4 linked regions of the Macaca mulatta genome follow. The main gene of each other region encodes a partner of the protein of the gene in region 3 in a complex. Links are inferred from orthologs where the notes say so. Each region holds a gene or a part of one and is shown on either strand. Other genes may lie near its edges.

What was found.
Region 1: the proteins of RAB8A (region 3) and RAB3IL1 are in contact, whole or in part, in a crystal structure (PDB 4LI0), measured with the Homo sapiens proteins. The link is inferred for Macaca mulatta from reciprocal best matches to the Homo sapiens genes RAB8A and RAB3IL1. Residues at the interface, in NP_005361.2 of Homo sapiens: Lys10, Phe33, Ser35, Phe37, Ile43, Asp44, Phe45, Lys46, Ile47, Gln60, Trp62, Thr72, Ile73, Thr75, Ala76, Tyr77, Arg79; in NP_037533.2 of Homo sapiens: Arg104, Glu108, Leu111, Glu112, Thr115, Ala116, Phe119, Glu120, Ala122, His123, Arg127.
Region 2: the proteins of RAB8A (region 3) and RAB3IP are in contact, whole or in part, in a crystal structure (PDB 4LHX), measured with the Homo sapiens proteins. The link is inferred for Macaca mulatta from reciprocal best matches to the Homo sapiens genes RAB8A and RAB3IP. Residues at the interface, in NP_005361.2 of Homo sapiens: Lys10, Phe33, Ser35, Thr36, Phe37, Ile43, Asp44, Phe45, Lys46, Ile47, Trp62, Ile73, Ala76, Tyr77, Arg79, Gly80; in NP_783322.1 of Homo sapiens: Ser199, Arg202, Asp203, Gly206, Leu209, Glu210, Thr213, Ala214, Phe217, Glu218, Ala220, His221, Val224, Asn228.
Region 4: the proteins of RAB8A (region 3) and RILPL2 are in contact, whole or in part, in a crystal structure (PDB 6SQ2), measured with the Homo sapiens proteins. The link is inferred for Macaca mulatta from reciprocal best matches to the Homo sapiens genes RAB8A and RILPL2. Residues at the interface, in NP_005361.2 of Homo sapiens: Ile41, Gly42, Ile43, Asp44, Phe45, Lys46, Ile47, Lys58, Trp62, Phe70, Ile73, Tyr77; in NP_659495.1 of Homo sapiens: Leu135, Leu138, Arg139, Leu142, Gln143, Arg145, Asn146, Lys149, Ser150, Leu153, Glu157.

Annotation. Positions count from the first base shown.
Region 1 is NC_133419.1:12,068,828-12,074,202, forward strand, and holds the start of RAB3IL1 (guanine nucleotide exchange factor for Rab-3A), read left to right. Parts: upstream 1-1,673; 5' UTR 1,674-1,844; coding exon 1,845-1,996; intron 1,997-4,770; exon of another isoform or gene 4,771-4,985; coding exon of another isoform or gene 4,986-4,996; intron 4,997-5,375. UniProt on the Homo sapiens protein: Guanine nucleotide exchange factor (GEF) which may activate RAB3A, a GTPase that regulates synaptic vesicle exocytosis. Promotes the exchange of GDP to GTP, converting inactive GDP-bound Rab proteins into their active GTP-bound form.
Region 2 is NC_133416.1:76,867,125-76,872,492, forward strand, and holds the start of RAB3IP (rab-3A-interacting protein), read left to right. Parts: upstream 1-1,666; 5' UTR 1,667-2,432; coding exon 2,433-2,470; intron 2,471-5,368. UniProt on the Homo sapiens protein: Guanine nucleotide exchange factor (GEF) which may activate RAB8A and RAB8B. Promotes the exchange of GDP to GTP, converting inactive GDP-bound Rab proteins into their active GTP-bound form.
Region 3 is NC_133424.1:16,584,683-16,590,070, forward strand, and holds the start of RAB8A (ras-related protein Rab-8A), read left to right. Parts: upstream 1-2,160; 5' UTR 2,161-2,173; coding exon 2,174-2,297; intron 2,298-2,647; exon of another isoform or gene 2,648-3,239; intron 3,240-5,388. UniProt on the Homo sapiens protein: The small GTPases Rab are key regulators of intracellular membrane trafficking, from the formation of transport vesicles to their fusion with membranes.
Region 4 is NC_133416.1:130,849,197-130,854,713, forward strand, and holds the start of RILPL2 (RILP-like protein 2), read right to left. Parts: upstream 3,703-5,517; 5' UTR 3,633-3,702; coding exon 3,279-3,632; intron 1-3,278. UniProt on the Homo sapiens protein: Involved in cell shape and neuronal morphogenesis, positively regulating the establishment and maintenance of dendritic spines. Plays a role in cellular protein transport, including protein transport away from primary cilia.

The sequences.
Region 1 (5,375 bases), on a different chromosome or scaffold from region 3:
ATAATAGAGATGAGGTCTCAGTTTGTTGCCTAGGCTGGTCTCAAACTCCTGGGCTCAAGCGATCCTCCCACCTCGGCCTCCCAGAGTGCTGGCATTACAGGCGTGAGCCACTGCACCTGGCCACAAATGTTATCTGCTTTAATACTCACTACTTCACAGGGGAGAACTGTTCCCATTTTATATAGATGAGGAAACTGAGTCCCAGAGAGGTTAAGTGACTTGCCTGAGGCCACACAGCCAGCGAGTGGCAGAACTAGGATGAGAATTCGGGCCAAATGAAGACAGGGTGGCACATTCACACCATCCCACAGATGGATGGGGTCTGTGTACCAGGCAAGGGGACACTGAGAAGGGTGACGAGGATGGCCCAGCCTCTGCGCAGAGGGCCACTCAGTTCTTGCGGGAGTGTGCACCAGTTCCGTGGGGTGTTTGTCATGTGCAGGGCTAACCATGTGTCTGAGGGCTCTGGTGTCTGCAGAGGAAAAAAGTAACCCACAGGGGAGGGCTTCCTAGAGGAGGGGGTATGAACAAAAGAGAAACTTACCAGCAGAGGCAGGATGCAGTGGAGATTGCAGACAGGTGGGATAGTATGTGGAAAGAAGAGGAATGGGCACATCTGGGCAGTGGCAACTGACCTGGTGTGCTTTGGAGGGTGAGAATCCATTTCATAGTTGGAGAAACTGAGGCACAAAGAGGCTAACGTGCTCAAAGGCACACCGTCTGAAAGTGGGGTTGAATCCAGCCTGTCTGACCCTGGGCCTGTGCTCCCAGCTGCTACCACTGAGTTGTTCCTGGGTGGTGGCGGTGAAAAGTTTTAAGGGTAGCGAGACCCCGTCTCTCCAAGCAAAAAAAAAAATTTAAGAATTAGCCAAGCATGGTGACACATGCCTGGAGTCGCAGCTGCTCAGGAGGCTGAGGTGGGAGGATGGCTTGAGCCGGGGAGTTTGAGGCTGCCTTCCAGCCTGGGTGACAGAGTGAGACCCTGCCTTAAAAAATTAAAAAAAAAAAAAAAAAAAAAAAAAAAAGACAAAACTAGGAATCTCAAATCTAAGAAAAAGAATTAAAAAATAATAATAATAACAGTTTTTTGTTTGTTTGTTTGTTTTGTTTTTTGAGATGGAGTTTCGCTCTTGTTGCCTAGGCTGGAATGCAATAGCACGATCTCGGCTCACCGCAACCTCCGCCTCCCAGGTTCAAGCAATTCTCCTGCCTCAGGCTCCCGAGTAGCTGGGATGACAGGCATGCGCCACCATGCCTGGCTAATTTTGTATTTTTAGTAGAGACGGGGTTTCACCATGTTGGTCAGGCTGGTCTTGAACTGCTGACTTCAGGTGATCTGCCCGCCTCGGCCTCCCAAAGTGCTGGGATTACAGGCGTGAGTCTCCGTGCCCGGCCAATAACAAAGTTTTAAGTGGATATTCAGGCTTGTGGTCACAGTCGGGAGGGCCTGTCAGGGCTCCACAGCCAGCTTACGACAGCTATGACAGGGTCAAGGCTGGACAGGCAGTTTCCAACGCCCCAGCCTGTGTGGCGAGGGGACAAGTAGACCATCTGGGAGCCTGGCTGAAACACGGGGCCTCCTCTTGAGGTGTCTCATCTCCCCTGGCCCAGAGCCCAGGAAGGAGGGCCCAGTGTCTTCTGCTGCCTGAGGAGCCACAGGAGTTAATAATTACGGGGTTGAAGGAGATAGCGGCTGTCCTGGGAGGTGGTGCCTCCCTCCCAGGCTGCTGCTCTGAGGAGATAGCAAAGGTTAGTGTGAGGCCCAGCCTAGTGGGGGGAAGAAGGCTCCTGCTACCTCCCTTCCCAGCACCCTCCAGAGGGACCCTCAGTCTGGCCTTCCAAGCATGGACTCTTCTGAGGAGCACGCCAGGTGCCCCGCCCGAGGGACATGCCCCGTGTTCCTGGCCATGAGTGCAGGGACTGTCCGCTACGCCCCATTAGGCCTGTGCCCTGCACTTGAGGGGAGCTTGAGAGAAGAGCCCTGGGGCACAGAAAGGTGAGCTCAGGACCTGCGGCATGGAGGGGAGGGGGAATCTTGGCGAGCTTCAGGGCAGCCGGTGTGAGAAGCTGGGCTCAGAGAGTCCTAGGGAATGGCTCTGACTATCTTGTCCAATTTGGTGGCTGTAGAGAGGTGGAGACTGAAGCTCAGATAGGGCAAGACACTCGTCCTGGGTCACACAGTGAGCTGAGGTCAGACCTGTAAGTCCAGAATCAGGGCCTGGGTCATCCAGGCTGACTGTCTCCTACTCCTCAGCTGCCTTCAGCCAAGGGTCTGTGGTCAAGGCTGTCAGGCTTGGGATGTAGCAGGCAGAGGGGGATAGAGGGAGGGAGGGTCAGGAGGGCAGTGGCTTGTGGGCAGAGGACACAACTTTTTTTTTTTTTTTTTTTTTGAGATGGAGTTTCGCTCTTGTTGCCCAGGCTGGAGTGCAATGGTGCGATCTCGGCTTACAGCAACCTCTGCCTCCCGGGTTCAAGCGATTCTCCTGCCTCAGCCTCCTGAGCAGCTGGGATTACAGGCATGCACCACCACGCCCAGCTAATTTTGTATTTTTTAATAGAGACAGGGTTTCTTCATGTTGGTTAGGCTGGTCTCAAACTCCCGACCTCAGGTGATCCGCCTGTCCTGGCCTCCCAAAGTGCTGGGATTACAGACGTGAGCCACCGCGCCTGGCCCAGACACAACTTTTATTTCTCCCTTCCCTGCCACTGGCCAGGAACCCATAGCCTGTGCTCAGGAACCTCTTGCTGCCTGGCTGCACACAGCTGCAGCTGCCAGTGAGCTTCTAGTTTCTGGATGGTCTTTTTGGAAAACTGGTGTAAGAGGACTCAGCCCCACTGCCCCTGGCTGTGTGATATCTGGCAAGTTCCTTAACTTCTCTGAGCCCATCCTTTTTGGCTGAGGAGCAAGTTCAGCTGAGCAGTAGGGTCCTCCCTACTGGGGGAGGCAGTGAGGCCTAGGAGTCCATGGTAGCAGGAAGCATGGATGACAGGCTATTTTTGGTTAGAAATTGAGTGTCGATGCTTTCTGAGTGGTGACCACACACTTGTCCTTCGAGACCTCGCTCAAGGGCCTCCCCAGTCCACCAGCTGTCCCAGGCTGAGTACTCTTCCTCCAGGGACATAGCCCTGAGCTGACGCCTCCTCCACCCACTTTATCTCCCACTGGTCTGGGTTGCCATGACTTATCTCCTCCCGGTGCTTGTGAAGACTTGAGGGCAAGGGCCCTGTGCTGGGTTCCTTTTGTGTCATTTTCTCCTCCTTCTCTAAATAGTGAACAAAACAAGGCCAGGAAGACAACAGTTGCTCAAGACCTACTGATGAGGGATTCAAGCCAGCAAACACATGTGGACATCTGCTTTGGGTGGGCCAGACCCTGAGCTGGGCTGGGGGCGGGGTGAGGGAACACAGCTCCAAGAAAGAGAGAATCCCTGCCCTCTGGAAGCCATGGCCATGGAAACAACTGCCCTGCTGCGTGATGGCTATGGGACGCCTGGGCTGAATGATTCTAGAAAGTTGGAAGGGATGCTATGGAGAACTGCCAAGGTTGTTCACTGCACAAAATGCTGGCCAAGGGAGCAAGCAAGGCATAGAATCCAGCCTCGCCTCCACTCTCCAGATTCCCTACCTTGTTGTGCACTATGCCCAGTGGGGAAAGAGCACTGTTGTCTATTTGTACTCTGGACATGGAGGTCTTAGAGAATACCTCCCTCATCCTCCATCCTCCATCATGGAGCCCCAGGAGGGCAGAGCCTATGTCTGCACAGTTTCCTTCTGGGTCACCAGCCCTTGCATGGCCCATAGACTATGCTCAGATGGAGTGGCTGAATGTATGAATGAGTTGAATGAATGAATAAAATGTGTCCTCAAATGAAGATCTGACTAACTTGAGCCTGGGGCCTGAGTCAGTGGGCCTGGAGGGGTTCAGCACTAGGACCTCTGGTAGCACCTAGAAGGGCAAGTACCTCCCCCCAAGCTCCCAGTCCTCCCCCAGACAGGGAAGGTGGGAGCCATGGTTCCTGGTGGGAGAGAAGAGGGGTTCTGCTCTTACTGGTCCAGTCCCAGGCTGAAGTTGAGAACAATGATCAGGACTCAGAATGGGTGGGACAGAGGAACTGAGGGACAGGTAGACCAGTGGTCTGGGATTCAGGGAAAGGTTTCACGGAGGATGAGGAACCAGACAGGTGTGCGTATGTGTGTGTGTTGGTGGGGGTGGGGTGGGGAATACTATCCAGAGGGCAGATGGTGGATAAAGGCAGGGATGGGTACAGTGTGTTAAGAGGCAGGAGGCTGGGTGAGGAGAGTTGAACCAGAAGTGGAAACTCCTTCGGGGTAAAACTCAGAGAGTAGGACTCAGAAAACTTGTTTCGGGTTTGTCCCCTCCCCTTCCCAGCAGGCAGGATGTTGCACAGGGACAGGCACTAAGTAGATAGACTAGGGAAGGAGTGCCGGTGAGGATGGGGGAGGGTGTCTGCTGGCCTTAAGTGACAATCTGTGTGAGAATCCAAGAGCTGAGAGCCCGGGAGCCATTGTAGGTTCTTGAGCAGGGGTGGCCCAAAGTGGGTGGTGCAGAGGGCGATTGGAGAGGACGAGTCAGCTAGGGAGTCTGAGCGCGGCGCGGGCCGCGGGATGTTGGGGGCCGGGTTCCTTCCCCGCGCCGCGGTCTCCTTGTCCCGGCGCGGCGGGCCGGGTGGGGCCGGGCCCTGGGAGCGCGCGCCCGATCCCAGCGCCCGGCCGGCGAGGGGCGGGGCCGGGCACGTGTCCTCGGGCCGCCCCCCTCCGCCACGTGACCCGCCCAGGGCAGGGTCGGGGCTGGGCTGGGGGCCGCGAGCCCAGGCAGCTGAGACCTACTGACCGGCCGCGGGCTGGGCTGACAGGCGGTGGGGCGGCTCGGCCCCGGGAGGAGTCGGCGGCGAGCGGGGACGCGGCGCGGGGAGGACGCGGCGGCGGCGCTGGGAACAAACGCCCGGGCGCCCCGAGGCGCCGGGATGTGGAGCGGGTAGGTCCGCGCGCGCTCGCGGTCCCGCGCCGGGTCTGGGCCGCGGCTGCCTCCCGGGACAGAATGATTGGGGGGGGGGGTCCCCGCCGGATCTGCGCCGCCACCCAGAGGTGCTGTGCGCCCCCGCCCTGCCTGCAGGCGAGCCGACTTGCGGCCGGGAGACTCCGGGGGAGGGGTCGGGAGTCTCTCTCGGGGTGCAGGATGCGAAGGGTGGGCAGCCGACCGTCCCGGGGTGACAGCGTCAACTCCTCCTAGATCATCAGGAGCGCAAGTGAGAAGAGTCGGGGTATGGGGAAGAGTGTGCACGACTCTGGGGCATGCACCTAGAGGAGAGACCCCCAGTCCACCCTCGCAACCCGTCCCTCAACCCCCTCGGCTG
Region 2 (5,368 bases), on a different chromosome or scaffold from region 3:
ATCAAGACATAAAAAGAAACAGCATATGGAAATACAGGGTTGTGAGTACAGCAAGACTGGGGAGCCCAAGTGGTTTGCTGTATATTTAATTTATTCATTTCACGTAGCTATTACTGACATACTTGTCTCCCTATATATGTTTGAGTCCGTGAATGGTGGGGACTTTGTAATGGTTTCTCTGTCCCTATGTCTAACAGGAAGCACACAGATGGAGTGCAATAAAATGTTTGATGAATGAATGACCAGCTACGTGGTGTAAGGGAGAACAGTTAGGAGTCCGTTAATAAGAAAGGTCATTTCTAATGGCAATGAATATCAGGTAAGATATATTTAAGAATTATTTAGAAATTAGGATGAATAAGACTTGGTGATATATTGGTGACGGGGTATAAAATAAGAAAAACTGACTTTCTAGGTTTCTGGATTACAGATGCATGATAATAGTTATAATGGTATAATAACAATAGCTAATATTCATCAGGCACCCTGTGTCATGAAGTATGCAAAGTGTTTACATGAATTAAGTCATTTAAACTCTCAATGACTTAGCGAGGCAGGTTCTTGTATACTCATTCACTGATGAGAAAACTGGGGCTAGAGATTCATTTGCCTAAGGTCACTCAGCTAGCAGGTGGCAGGCTCAAACCCAGTAATTCTGACTCCAACAGCCATACACATAGTCTACTTTTCTTTACTGCCTCTAATAGATGAGATTAATACCCAGAATGATGGTTCTATTCAATATGTGTATCACATAAATTGCACGTTTCTCTTTTGCTAAACATAGAGACACATACTATGAATGCCTCTTTATTTTTTCCGATTTTTGGGATCTTGGCTCTTTCTGTATTTTTCCTACCTGGAAGACTTAAAGTGGGGTGGAAGTTTGATAAAACAGTTGGCACAAAAGATGAGAGAAGACAGGTACAGGCGTGACATTCTCGAACGCTCTGGCAGTTGCTGGAATGATGGGATCTGGGTTCTACAGGATTCCTCCCCTCCCATCCCCCGCCACACAAACACACACACACACACGTCGTAAGATGTATATGGCCGCGGAGTCTCAGGTTGGTTCTAGGAGTCCTCAACTCACGGCGAAGGTGCCTCTTCTCCCTTCTGGAGAGCCCAACATGCCTGAAGTCAACCTGAGGTGGCCTCTCGGGCCCCGGGAAACAGCGCAGCTCGGGCTCGCCCTTGTTCCCAGGGAAACCGCCCGCGGAGGAACCTGGGGCCAGGCCCGTGACAGCTGCGACGAGCCCCGCCTGGCGCCAGGGGGCGCGGAAGCGCGTCCGCCCCCAGGCCCCACGCCGGGCCCGCCCCGCCCCTGCCGGCCACACCCCCCCGCCCCGCCCACCCTCCGTGAGGACCGGCCGCTCCCAGCTCCCGGCTCCCGGCCCCGGGCCCCGGCCCCGCTTCCGGCGCAGGCGCAGTCCCGCGTTCCCTCGGCGGCTGCCGGCGTAGTGAGCCCGCCACCGTGGAGTGTAGCGGCAAGGGCTCGCCGTCCTCCTCCGCCTCTCGCTGCTTCGGGGCGCGCTCTCTGCGGCTCTGTGAGCGCCCGTGAGCGCCGGCAGCGGCCGCGGTGGGTTCGTCAGGTGAGTGTGGCCGCGGGAGGGAGAGGCCCGGAGCGTGGAGCACCGCCCCCCTCGGCGCCCGCGCACCCGCCTCCGGCGAGTCGGCCAGGAGGGGCGGCCGCGGCAGGTGCAGGTGCCGGCGCCGTGGAGGGCGCGGCGCGCGGGGGTTCGGCGGGATGCCCCGGCCCGGTGAGCGCGCTCTCCGCCTGGGCAGTTGGGCTCCGGGCTCTTGGGGGCGGCGTGTGGGGGGACCTCGGCGCCCCGGGTCAGCCGGCCGCCCCCTGGGCTGCTGGTGGGCGCCGGGCGGCGGCTCCTCCCCCGGGCACGGGCGCGTTACACATTAACTGCGCGGTCCCGCGCGCCCGGGGCAGGGAGCCGGAGCCCGGCGGGTTACCTGGCGGCGGCCGGGAGCGGCCGGGAGCGGCCGGGAGCGGAGGGCCGGGGTCGCGAGGGGGATGAAGACGGAGTTCCCGAACAAGTCGGTAGCCGCTCACAACACCGGGCGCCGCGCGGCAGGGCTGTGGACGGGGCAATAGCTGTGGACCTGGGGTGGTTTCGTGCCCCAGTCTTAGGAAACGACGCTAGAGGCACCGTGCTGAGGCGTAGAGGTCACCCTCGGGAGGTTTCGGTGAAACCTGGTGGGAAATTCCGGGCAGGCGCCCGGAGTCGCGTCCGAAGAGGCAGCTCCTTGCAGCCAGACTTGTGTTCGGGGGAGTTGAGACGAGCTGCACGGATGGGATTGCACGGCTTTGCCCTCCCAGCGTTGAAAACTCGCCCCGACCGCCCGGGGAAGCGCGAGCTTCCTCGCTCCAGAATTGATGCTGGGTGGAAGCCGCAGCATGTAAAGAGTTGCCGGTTGTTATGGGATTAAAAAAAGATATATCTACAATGGCTAAAGGGTAAGGTCTTGAAAGACAAGAGCGCTGAGTTAGTACTGATTACTGAGAGGCAATTTAGTTTCATGGAAATGTTGCCTGTTCGGAGGCTACCTGTTATACACTCTCATGTTTCACCCCAACTCCTTCCTTTCAGTGTCGGGTTAAAAGCCTTGTAATCTCTTGCAGTGGAATGATTGCATAATTGGAGGAGGGGCCCGTAAGAGGATTACAACAAAACTGTTCCTTTGTAAATCAATTGAAAGACCCAGTTCTTGTTCATTATCCTTTTTCTCATTTTGTTGTTCATGAAGGTTTTTTTTTTTTTCCCCCCAGTGGTGAATGACAAATCAAGGAGAAAAGAGGCAGAATAGGTTTGTAGACCAATCGTAGTAAATATTTGATACTGTTAAATATTTCACCAGTTTTATGGGGCCTTGTACTATTACCATTTGTTATTTATTTACTAGTACTGTGCATTTTGATAGGACTTTTCGTGTTTGGACATTGTATTCCAGATATGGCTTATGTGATCTAATGCTAAAGCCCTTGTGGAATTTATAGAAATAAACAGTTATACAGTTAAGTAGTCCATTTTTTAACTATTGAAGGAAAAGCCTTTCATTTTTTTCCATTGCAGTAATGTTATATATTGATGTATACCTTTGTGAACCAAAGTGTTTAATATAAATCTTCCTTCCGTATTTGGCAGACAACTCATCTGTGGTATTGAATACTTGTAACCTTTCACCAGGATGGCCATTTAATGTTTAGCTGCTTTGTGGGTTTTCTGACTAGATCCTATTGTACTTTTTGAATTAGTGTAATTATCCATATGCTTCCTTTAATATTCTTTTTTTTTTTTTTTTTTTTTTTTTTTTTTGAGACGGAGTCTCGCTCTGTCACCCAGGCTGGAGTGCAGTGGCCGGATCTGAGCTCACTGCAAACTCCGCCTCCCGAGTTCACGCCATTCTCCTGCCTCAGCCTCCCGAGTAGCTGGGACTACAGGCGCCCGCCACCTCGCCCGGCTAAGTTTTTGTATTTTTAGTAGAGACGGGGTTTCATTGTGTTAGCCAGGATGGTCTCGATCTCCTGACCTCGTGATCCGCACGTCTCGGCCTCCCAAAGTGCTGGGATTACAGGCTTGAGCCACCGCGCCCGACCTAATATTCTTTACCTTTGATCCTCCCCCAACACACACATCCTCTGCAAATACTTTTTAAAATGGAAATGTTCTTAGAAATCTGTTTCACCCCCTCATTTTTTAAACATGGCAGGAAAAAATACTTTGTAGATTATAGTAGTTTTATATGCATTATAGTAGTTAGTATATTTTTTTCCCCCTCAGCAGGAGTCAGTGAACAAATTAGTGAGCTGGCTGAATGAAAAATTATTTAATGTTCAGTTCCATCACTTACTGTGCATAAAACCTTGAGTAAAACATTTAACCTATTTGAGCTTATTTTCTCCATTTGTCAGTGGAAATACTATTAGGTTGAAATTGCTAATATTCTGCTGTTTTTTATGTTTCAACCTAATATGAACTTCATAGTGGTGAGATGAGGATTTAATAAGATACTCCATTAGAGATGTGGGGAAGGGGAGAAGGAACCAATGTGAGCTTGCTTGTGTGCAAGGCACTGTGCGTGCTTGTTTTCCATACCTTGACTCCTCAGTCCTCTGGACATTCCTGGGATATAGGTGACTTGTCAAATTTTACAAATCAGGAAATGGAGGCTTAGAAAGTTGCGGTAATTTGTCTGTAGTTACTTAGTTGTAGGTGGTCGTACAGCTGGCCAGTGACAGAGCCGGTATTAAAAACTGTATCCAACTGCCCAAAAAGGAACTTAGTGCTTTTATTCCTTACATTCCCAGTCTGCACTTTCTATTAAAGAACTTTGTAACTATAAGGAGGCACACAGAGTGACAAGTGTTACCATTTGTATTTCTGGTTTAAAAATACCCAGGTTTTCTAATGACGGTGATACCAGCCTTGCTACTACAGTTACTTTTAAGTCTAGTGCTTATCAAGCCAAGTCCTGGTACAAGCTTTATACTAACTCACTTACTCTCACAGTGAGCTAGGAGATAATACTTTATCCCTATTTTGTAGTTGAGAAAATTGAGACGCTGAGACCTTATGTAGTTTGCTCAAAGTCATATAATTAATTAAGTGACAGGTCTGGATTAGATGTCAGTTTGTCTTCCATGTCTGTGCTGTTAACCACTGCACTCTGTATAAGTGGTAATGCTGAAGAATTATTTGCTTATAATCACTGCATTATCACTTCTTTGTGTGTAGCTTATAATGCTGAAGAACTGTTCGTAATTTAGCTTTTATGAGATATGTAATATTAATGTAATATGTAATTCTTATGTGTCACCAGAGATTTTTTTAAATCATATACTCAATTGAGCATCTACTCTGCAAGTCACAGTAGGGGTTAAAGGAAACAATTCTTAAGGAATATGGGAGGTGGGGCCTTATAATCATTCCCATATCTTTTATAAGTTCTTCAAAATGTAGAACACACGTTACATATTTTAATGAATGTCAACTAAGACGAAGTGCTAGGATAGTTGAGTAGTGGAGAGGAAGAACAGATGGGTAGTGGGTAGAGATATTTGTGCATTGAGGTAATGAGGGAAAGCTTTGAAGATATTCCAAGGGAGTACACTTTTTCAAACTAAACTTTTGTCCAATATAATTCTGATTAAGATGCAATTCAACAAAGCATAGTAAATTGGTTACTATGCATTTAATATCCTAAAAACAAAATATCTGAGCTTTTGTAAACTGCTTTCTAGCTAGTTTGTCCTTTTTTTGTACTGCTATCCTTAATTGTACCAGGTAGTACTCTTATAAAAAATTTTATGCTTTTGTAATACTGAGTATCTCTTTTTTGGTATTTATGAGCTTTG
Region 3 (5,388 bases):
GCCTCCCGGATTCAAGCAATTCTTGTGCCTCAGCCGCTGGAGTAGCTGGGACTACAGGTGTGCACGACCACATCCACCTAGTTTCTGAATTTTTAGTAGAGACGGTGTTTCACCCTGTTGGCCAGGCTGGTCTCGAACTCCTGACCTCAAGTGATCTGCCCACCTTGGCCTCCCAAAGTGCTGGGATTACAGGTGTGAACCCCCTCGACTGGCCAAAAAACTTTTTTTTTTTTTTTGCAGAGATGGGGGTCTTGCTATGTTTAGCCCAGGCTGGTCTCCACCTCCTGGCCTCCAGTGAACCTCCACCTCAGCCTCCCAAAGTGCTGGGATTACAAGCGTGCTAACCACGCCCAGCTAATTTTATTTGTTGTAGAGATGGGGGTCTCCCTATATTGTCCAGGCTGGTCTCGACCTCCTGAGCTCAAACAATCCTCCTGCCTCAGCCTCCCAAAGTGCTGGGATTACAGGCCTGAGCAACCACACCCAGCTGCAAGCCCGATTTTCCTAATGTATCTCTCCTCTTTTTCTTTTCTTTTTCTTTTTTATTTTTTTTGAGACGGAGTTTTGTTCTGTTGCCCAGGCTGGAGTGCAGTGGCACGATCTTGGCTCACTGAAAGCTCCGCCTCCCGGGTTCACGCCATTCTCCTGCCTCAGCCTTCCGAGTAGCTGGGACTACAGGTACCCGCCACTACACCCGGCTACTTTTTTGTATTTTTAGTAGAGATGGGATTTCACCGCGTTAGCCAGGATGGTCTCGATCTCCTGACCTCGTGATCCGACCGCCTCGGCCTCCCAAAGTGCTGAGATTACAGGCGTGAGCCACCGCGCCCGGCCTTTTTCTTTTTTTGAGAGGCTTCTCGCTCTGTCGTCCATGCTGGAGTGCAGTGGGACGATCACCGCTTACTGCAGCCTCAAACTCCTGGCCTCCCAAAGCACTGGGATCACAGGTGGCAGCCACAGCCCCGGCCTGTTTTTTCAGTGTTGAGAGTCCTGGCCCCTAGATAGGAACAAGCATCCTCACTGTTCTAAAGCATCCTCACTGTTCTAAACCCCCCGGGCTGGCCCGGACAACTCCTAAAGCGGCCGAGGGCGGACCCTGAGGAGGCCGGCGCGCGCTTCGGGGCATAGCTTGTGGCGGTGAAGCCGCTCAGGTGGCGGAGGCCTTGGGTATCTGTAAGCAGGTCGCTAGGCCGCAGACCTCGGAACTCGTCTTGGGTCACTTTTATTTATTTATTTATTTTTGAGATGGAGTCTTGCTCTGTCGCCCAGGCTTGAGTGCAAAGGCGCGATCTCGGCTCACTGCAACCTCCGCCTCCCAGATTCAAGCAATTCTCTGCCTCAGCCTCCCAAGTAGCTGGGATTACAGGCGCCCGCCACCACGCCCGGCTAATTTTTGTATTTTTAGTAGAAATGGGGTTTCACCATCTTGGCCAGGCTGGTCTTGAACTCCTGACCTCGTGATCCACGCGCCTAGGCCTCCCAAAGTTCTGGGATTTCAGCCACCGCGCCCGGCCCGGGTCACTTTTCGAGTATACAGTGTCTCCTCTCTCCTTCCTCCGTCGGCCCCCGCTGCCCCGACTCGGAGGCCGCAGATCAGGTTGAGAGCGCTACCATGGTTTCCCGCGCTCGCCTCGGGGCCTATTGCGCCTGCGCGAGTTGTGACGGCGGGACCCAGAGATACCCGCCCCAAGTACAGGATTGCGCCCTCTGCCGTCGCCTAACGGAACTCCGGGCGCTCGTGCGCACGCACCCCAAGCCCCGCCCCCCAGGCTGCCGGCGCGCGAGCCGTTGGCGACGCTCCCTGCCTTCCCTCTCCTGTAGTGGGGCGGGGCCGGGGCGCCCGAGTAGGGGGTGGAAGGCGGGGGCCACATAATGCCACGCCCCCGCCTCGTCCCCATTTGAAGCCCCACGACTCTTCACTGCTGGTCAATCAGAGCCCGTCCTCTCCCTAGTGCCGGCCAATGGGAGGTGCGCTCGGGCTGCTTCCGGCTCCGCGCTCCATTCGCCCCCTCCCCAGGTCTCCCCGCGACTGGCGGGACGCAGGGGCGGGCGTCGGCCGCGGTGACGCGCAGCGGGCCTGGAGCCAATAAGGGGCGGGCTCGGCGCTGATGGACGGTGCTGGTGGCCAGTGGAGAGGCGCTGGCCGCACTTCCCGTCGGGGAGAGAGTGTAATATGGCGAAGACCTACGATTACCTGTTCAAGCTGCTGCTGATCGGGGACTCGGGGGTGGGGAAGACCTGTGTCCTGTTCCGCTTCTCCGAGGACGCCTTCAACTCCACTTTTATCTCCACCATAGGTAGCGGGACCGGGGAGTGGCTGGGGGCGCCAGAGGCCCGGGCTGGGCGCGCCCCTGAGGGGCTGGGGCTGAGGGATCTACCGGGCTGGACTGGCCGAGGGCGCTGAGAGGGTCGAGGGGGCCTAAGGGGAGAAGAGCAGTCGCCTGTACCGCCGTTCGGAGGTTCCTGGGCCGTGGTGGGGGAGACCAGGTGCCCATTTTGCAGATGGGGAGACTGAGGCTCCGACCCTCAGCCCGCTCGTTAGGGAGTGTTATGTCCTGGGCTGGGGTCTTCGCGCCCGTCCTCTCGATCTGTCCTAGCAGCAGCCCTCAAAGCGGTTCTTTTGAGGCTCCTGCCTTACAGAAGTGGAAACTGAGTCATGGGGAATTGGCCATGGGAAAAAGACGGTGACATCTCACCTTAATGAGCATTTACTATGTGCCAAGTGCTTCCCGTGCATTTTCACACTCTCCAGTTCTCGGTGTTAAGTGCTGTTTTGAGCCCGTCTCACAGATGAGGAATTTGAGGCTCAGGGTGGGCCTGGAACTTGCCCAAGGCCACACAGTCTGCAGGTGGTGAGAATGGGATTTGATGGAATTTGAACCTGGCTGTGTCTCAACCCAAAACTCGAGGCTTAGCTATCCTAGAGAGATGCCACCTCACACTCCCAGCTGATGACAAGCTCAGCTAATGCACCTTGGAGCCGGAACTGTAACCCACACCATTCCTGCTCTTTTCTCTGGAGTATTCAGAAGTTGAACCCCTCTCCCTGACCATTCTTCCCCTCATAAGTGTATTTTCCTCTAGAAGGAATGATAAGAGGAGTCAGGACCTTTTCCCTGCCCACATTTCATCCTGCTCCAGGATGACAGTAATGACAAGTGACAGCACTGCCTGCCCTGGAACCTGTCATCTGCAAGAAGATGCAAGATAAAAGCCTCAGCGAGCAACTAAATCAGCCACTGCCACAGACAGCCTTGACTTCCCTATCAAAGGGCCCAAGACTCCGGTTGTCACTTTAGAACAGCTTTTCCCGTAGGGCCAGCCCACATTGTGGTTGAACAGAATTGGCTTGGTGCATCTCAGTTGTGCCGTCTGCAGAAGTGGAACTGACCTCTCTCAGTGCCACAAAAGCAGTCCTGGCCCACAATGAAAAGGTTAGACCGGGGAGTAACACCAGTCTGAGTGGCCTGGGAGCTCTGTAGCCCTGCTAGGGATGGGGAAAATGGGGGAACGGTCACTAAGGAGTTTATTCCAAGTCACGAAAACGTAGGGAATGGCCTTTGCTTTACTGTGTCACTTCAACAGAATCATGTTTTCTCCCTGAACCCCACGATAATGTGCTGATTCCATTCTTGCCCCCCTCCAGGAGCTGTGCTTTTTTTATTTTATTTTATTTTATTCTATTTTATTTTATTTTATTTTTTGAGATGGAGTCTAGCTGTTTTGCCCAGGCTGGAATCCAGTGGTGCTATCTCGGGTCACTGCAACCTCCGCCTCTCGGGTTCAAGCAATTCTCCTGCCTCAGCCTCTCTAGTAGCTGGGACTATAGGCACCCGCCACCACGTCCAGCTAATTTTTGTATTTTTAGTAAATATGAGTTTCACTATGTTGGTCAGGCTGGTCTCAAACTCATGACCTTGTGATCCACCTACCTTGGCCTCCCGAAGTGCTGGGATTACAAGCATAAGCCACTGCACCCAGGATAGCTGTGCTTTATAAAACAGTTATATGCCTGATGTAAAGTAGAGAGAACTGACTGGAAATCGTTACGTCTGGTTTCCAATTGCTGTTTGCCCTTGAACATACACTGCCCCTCTCTGAGCCCTGCTGTCTTTAGAGCAGGAGTGACGCTGTCTCCTGGGCTAGTGCCCTGGTGGTTGAGGATTAGAATTAGACAATAAGGGGTTATCACCGTAACCAGAGGCCATCTCGAAGAAGCAAATGAATGAATGGCTCCTGCAGTGACAGCATCCAGCCTCTGAAGACAGATGGTTCTGAATTCTTCCCCCTCCCCAACTCCAAGGCCAAACTTTAGGGTAACTCTTGTGCCCCAGCCGATCAAGAAGTGGCGTTAATTCAGCCTGGGCAACATAGCAAAACCCCATCTCTATAAAAAATAAAATAAAATTAGCCGGGCATACTGGCTTACCCGTATAGACCCAGCCACTTGGGAGGCCGAGATGGGAGGATTGATTGAGCCCAGGAGGTCAAGGTGCAGTGAGCTGTGATGGCGCCACTGCACTCCAGCCTGGGCAACAGAGCGAGACCCTATCTTAAAAGAAAGAAAGAAAGAAATTATGTTAACTGTGGGCAGACTGTGGCTTGCCTTCACTCAGATCCCAGTTTCCCGGCCTCAGCACCTTCCCCACAAACCCCCCCTCTTTTTTTTTTGAGATGGAGTCTCGCTCTGTCACCCAGTCTGGAGTGCAGTGGCATAATCTCGGCTCGCTACAACCTCCGCCTCTCAGGTTCCAGCAATTCTCCTGTTTCAGCCTCCTGAGTACCTGGGATTACAAGTGCCCACCACCATGCCCAGCTAATTTTTGTATTTTTTTTTTTTTTTTTTTTTTTAGTAGAGACAGGGTTTCACCACGTTGGCCAGGCTGGTCTCGAACTCCTGACCTCATGATCCGCCCACCTTGGCCTCCCAAAGTGCTGGCATTACAAGCATGAGCCACTGCGCCCAGCCCAGACCCCCCCTCTTTAGAGTTACTTTGAGCTTTAAAGAGGCTGTCTTCCATTTGCAGATGAAGATGTGACTTGGTGAAAGTTACCTAGCAAGGTGAAGGTGGCACCTGACCCCAGGATCCCTCCCTCTCACCCCTTCATTCCCCTCCTTCCATTTGTAGCCTTCTGTCTTCTAGGAATTTCTTTTTTTTTTTTTTTTTTTTTGAGACGGAGTCTCTGCCGCCCAGGCTGGAGTGCAGTGGCCGGATCTCAGCTCACTGCAAGCTCCGCCTCCCGGGTTCACGCCATTCTCCTGCCTCAGCCTCCCAAGTAGTTGGGACTACAGGTGCCCGCCACCTCGCCCGGCTAGTTTTTTGTATTTTTTAGTAGAGACGGGGTTTCACTGTGTTAGCCAGGATGGTCTCGATCTCCTGACCTCGT
Region 4 (5,517 bases), on a different chromosome or scaffold from region 3:
TTTTTAGTAGAAATGGGATTTCACCATGTTGGCCAGGTTGGTCTTGAACTCTGACCTCAGGTGACCTATGCCCACTTCGGCCTCCCAAAGTGCTGGGATTACAGGCATGAGCCACCGCACCCAGCTTTACTACAATTTAAAAAACCAAAAAGAGGTCAGGAATAGTGGCCCACTCCTGTAATCCCAGAACTTTGGGAGGCTAGGGTGGGTGGATCGTTTGAGCCCAGGAGTTTGAGACCAGCCTGGACAACATGGGAAAACCTCATCTCTAGAAAAAATACAAAAATTAGGTGGCCATAGTGGCGTACGCTTATGGTCTCAGCTACTAGGGAGGCTGAGGTGGGAGACCTGAGCCCAGGGAGGCTGAAGCTGCAGTGAGCAGTGTTCAAACCACTGCATGCCAGCCTGGGTGACAAAGTGAGACCCTGTCTCAAAACATACAAAGGAAAAAACAAGGCATATTTTTGTGCACTATCTAGTGGCACTAAACATTCATTTTCTTGATTCACGCATTTTTCCCTACCCCAGTTCTTAAGGCTGCAGTTTGGGAAGAAAATATGCCATCTCATCTGCCGCCTGATGAAACTTGTCCACTTTGCCCCATATGGGAAAGTACCCAGCCCCTGTGCACACCACACTATTCTTAGCTCATAATGAGACTTCCTCCATATTCTTGTGCCCGGAGATGGAGGCAAAAATAACACAGAATGTGGCTGAGCAATCCTGTGCAAGTCACTCAACTTTCCTTGACTCTCAAAAGCCAGGCTACAAGTCATCACACTTAACCATGTCACTTGACAGATACTAAAGTAGAATATTATCTAGAAATACAATTGTCACCATCACTTAGGAATAGGTGAAATAAACTACCGGGGTCAGAGAAGGTATGAGGCAAATAATAATAATTAATAATAAGAAGAAAAAAAAGTTACCAGGGAAGCTACTGGGAAACTTCACACTTCCCTGTGAATTTCAGTGACTCGTTCCTGTTCTTTCCAGGCTTACTTCTTGGTTTGTATACTTTTTTTTTTTTTTTAAGACAAAATCGTCTTGCTCTGTTGCCAGGCTGGAATGCAGTGGCATGATCTCAGCTCAATGCAACCTCCCCCTCCCAGGTTCAAGCAATTCTCTTGCCTCAGCCTCCCGAGTAGCTGGGAATATGGGCGCGTGCCACCATGCCCAGCTAATTTTTGTATTTTTAGTAGACGCGGAGTATGTTGGCCAGGATGGTCTCGATCTCTTGACCTCCTGATCTGCCTGCCTCGGCCTCCCAAAGTGATGGGATTACAGGCGTGAGCCATCGCGCCCAGCCTTGGTTTGTATACTTGGTTTTTGTTTGTTTGTTTGTTTGTTTGTTTTTGAGACAGTCTTGCTCTGTCGCCCTGGATGGAGTCCAGTGGCACGATCTCGGCTCACTGCAACCTCCACCTCCTGGGTTCAAGTGATTCTCGTGCCTCAGCCTCTGAGCAGCTGGGATTACAGGCGTGCGCCACCAGGTCCAGCTAATTTTGTATTTTTAGTAGAGGCAGGGTTTCACCATGTTGCTCAGGCTGGTCCCGAACTCCTGGCCTCAAGTGATCTGCCTGCCTCGGCCCCCCAAAGTGCTGGGATTACAGGTGTGAGCCACTGCGCCTGGCCCGGTTTGTATACTTGTGTCCTGGTTCTAGGACTGTGTGTCTGGCCTCTCCCACTAGATGTGAGCTTCTTGAGGGCAGGCACCTTGTCTACTTTATCTCCATAGCCCCAGAGCCTAGCATCAGTCACTGCAGTCACTCATCAAATGTTAGTACAACAAGTAAGGCCAAATGTCTGCATTTTAGGATGGAGTATTTAGGACTAGCATCTCTGAATGAAGATCCTGGCTTCACCTCTTACTTGCCGTTAAGTCCTCAGGCAAATTACTTAATTGTTCTGTGCCTCATTTTTGTAAAACAGTAATAGTGTGAGGATTAAAAAAGACATCGTCCACTTACAGCAGCTTTTTTTTTTTTTTTTTTAACTGTGGCTGGAGACCTGCTAGTAGGTCATAACATGAATGAGTTTCGACAAGAATTTTAAAAACCTAGGCCGGGTACGGTGGCTCACGCCTGTAATCCCAGCACTTTGGAAGGCTGAGGTGGGTGGGTCACTTGAGGCCAGGAGTTTGAGGTCAGCCTGGCCAAAATGGCGAAACCCCATCTCTACTAAAAAAGAAAAGAAAAAAAAAATTAGCCAGGCATGGTGGCAAGCGCCTGTAATCCCAGCTGCTCAGGAGGCTGAGGCAGGAGAATCGCTTGAACCCAGGAGGTGGAGGTTGCAGTGAGTCGAGGTCACGTGACTGCACTACTACACCTGGGCAACAGAGCAAGACTCTGACTCGAAAAAAAAAAAAATCTACAGTAGTTTCTCTTTTGTGCCTGGCTTCTTTCTCTCAATGTAACATCTGTGAGATTCATTCACACTGCTATGTGTATCAGCACCCTGTTCTTTTTCTGTTGCACAGTATTCCATATATCACAATTTCAAAACTGAAACTGGGTTGCATTTAGATTGTTTCCAGTTCAGCAGTTGAGACTAAAGCTGCTCGGAATCTTCTTGTCTATGTCTTTTTGTGGTCATATGCACTAATTTCTCTTTAGGTAAAATGTGTTTCTTGCCCAAGTGTGGTGGCTCACATCCACAATCCCAGCACTTTGGGAGGCCAAGGCGGGAGGATTCCCTGAGCTCAGGAGTTTGAGACCAGCCTGGGTAACGGTGAGACCCCCATCTCTACAAAACATCAAAACAGTTAGCTAGGCATGGTGGCACATGCCTGTACTCCCAGCTACTCGCAAGGCTGAGGCAGGAGAATTGCTTGAGCCTAGGAGGCCAAGGCTATAAGTGAGCCATGTTTGCACCACTGTACTCTAGCCTGGGCAATAGAGCAAGACCCTGTGTCAAAAAAAAAAAAATTGTGTTTGTTGCTCTAGGTCAAAGGTTCTCAAACTGGACCCGGGGCCACCAGCATCAGCATTAACTGGGAACTCGTTAGAAATACAGATTCTGGCCCCGCAGGGTGGCTCCCACCTGTAAACCCAGTACTCTAGGAGGCTGAGGCTGGAGGATCACTTGAAGCCAGGAGTTTGAGACCAGCCTGGGCAACACAGCGAGATCCCATCTCTTTAAAAAAAAAAAGGAAAAGAAAAGAAAGGAAAGGCAAAGAAAAGAAAAAAGAAAAGAAAAGAAAAGAAAAGAGAAGGTGTCTTCCTGCTAGTAGGCGCCCTCCTACGCCCCGCAGGCGCTCTGGGCCCAACACTCACCTCCCCGCTGGTCGGAGGGTCCTGTCTCCGCAGCCCCTCCACCTCCTTCCTGAGGTTGTCCCTCTCCATCTTCAGCTCCTCCAGCGCCAGGCTGCCCTCATTCACCAGCGCCTCCAGCATCTCCAGGACGCGGACGACTTTGAACTGCAGCTGCGTCACCCGGGGGTCGCTGCCCAGGGCCATAAGTTCGCGGCCCAACAGGTAGGAGATGTCATACACGTCCTCGGTGGTCAGCTGGAAGGGGCTCTTGCCCAGCGCCCCTTCGGGCCCAGCCTCGTCCCTCTCCTCGTCCTCAGTCTCGTCCCTCTCATCGTCCTCTTCCTCTTCCTCTTCTCGCACAGGGGGCTCCTCCATGGCCACCCAGACCCCCGCCGACCCCGGAGCTGCTCTCTTGGAGTCTCCCAAAGGTTGAACTTCCTCCCGGCACCCAAAACTTTCCGCTGGGCAGAGTCCCTACCTGCCCAATCAGCGCGGCCCGGGGGTGGGCCCGGGGGGGGCGGGGGGGAAGGGGAAAAAGGGGCCGCGCACGCGACTCTAGGGCCGCCCCTGGCGCACCGTCCCTGCTGCAGGCCGCGCGGGCGAGTGCGCTCCAGGTTGTGGTTTGGGGCGCGAAGGGACAACAGAAAAGGAGGGCGTCCGAGAAGAGGAAAGTTCAGGGGTGAGGGCAATCCCCCCAGCCTGGGAACAGTTGCAGCCCGGGGGAGGAGCCGCCCTGAGCCCCGCCCCTGGCGACCGCTGCCGGGAGGCGCGTTCCCGTGGAGACCGAGTTTCCACCGCGCAATCGAGAGCAGAGCAAAAAGAAAGCAACTTTTTCCTTTCTACTCTCGTGCTTTCCAGCCGTAGAATTTGCATCGTACGTGATGGAAGATTCGGGTCTCTCTTTGAGGGAGTTTTCTGGAACCTGCGGCCAAACAGAAAGCAGCTGTTGTGGGCAGCGCGACAGAGTCCCCAAGGCTTGAGGATCTGGAAAACTCCCAGCAAATTATCATTAGGGCCTGGGGCATCTGACTTCTGTGACTCTCAATAAAATGGGGAATTCCTACCCTGCTCACTTCGCTGGGTCCTCGGCTCCTCCACGTAACCGGCGCTGCCACCTTGGCAAGTTACTTAACGTCTCCAAGCCTCAGTCTCCTCTTCTGTAAAATGGGGACAATAGCGGGACCCAGGTGGCAGGGTTGCTGCGAGGAACATGAACTTATGAGATAATGTGTGTGACACCTCACACACTTAGGAAGCACTTTACAGATGTGATTGTGATCCTTCATTCTTTCTTCCACAGAGCTGGGGAGGAATTGCTGGTGTTGGAGACACCTTGCTACTTGGGTGAGAGAAGCAGGCGTAATTAACAAGAGAGAAACCCCTGTCTGAAAATCACAAAGCATTTGACACATATGCAGAATCCATATTACTGAGAATATTAGCAGTGTGGCTTAGAAACTTGAGTTATTTGCTGTGGCTCATGCCTTAATCTCTACACTTTAGGAGGCTGAGGCAGGAGGATTGCTTGAGCCCAGGAATTCGAGACTAGCCTGGGCATCATAGTGAGACCCTATCTCTACAAAAAGTAAACAAAATTAGGTGGACACGGTGGTTCATGCCTGTAGTGGCAGGTACTCGGGAGGCTGAGGTGGGAGGATCGCTTGAGCCCAGGATGTTGAGGCTCCAGCGAGCCAAGATCGCACCACAGAGTGGTGCCTGTGACGGAGTAAGACCATGGTGACAGAGTGAGACCATGTTTCAAAACAAAAGCACAACAAATCTCAAGTTATTTTAGGTTCCATTGGAGGTTTGTGATAGTCTCAGGCAGAAAGCTCAGCAACAGGGCTTATCTTTCCTAGGAATGTATTGGCAGCTTTCCTTGTGATGGGTGTGTCCATTTTCTCCACACTGAGGTACTAGAATCTCAATGGAGAATGTACACGGATTAAACCAACCAACTAAAGCAAAGCAAATTAACAAAACATACTATTTTCAGAGGGCCGTTTTTATTTTCCTTATTTATTTATTTTTAGTTTTATTTATTTATTTTTTTTGAGACGGAGTCTTGCTCTGTTGCCCAGGCTGGAGTGCAGTGGCACAATCTCGGCTCACTGCAACCTCCACCTCCCAGGTTCAAGCAATTCTCCTACCTCAGCCTCCCGAGTAGCTGGGACTACTGCGCCAGTTATAGTCCCAGCACATGCCACCACGCCTGGCTAATTTTTTGTATTTTAGTAGAGATGGGGTTTCACCGTGTTGC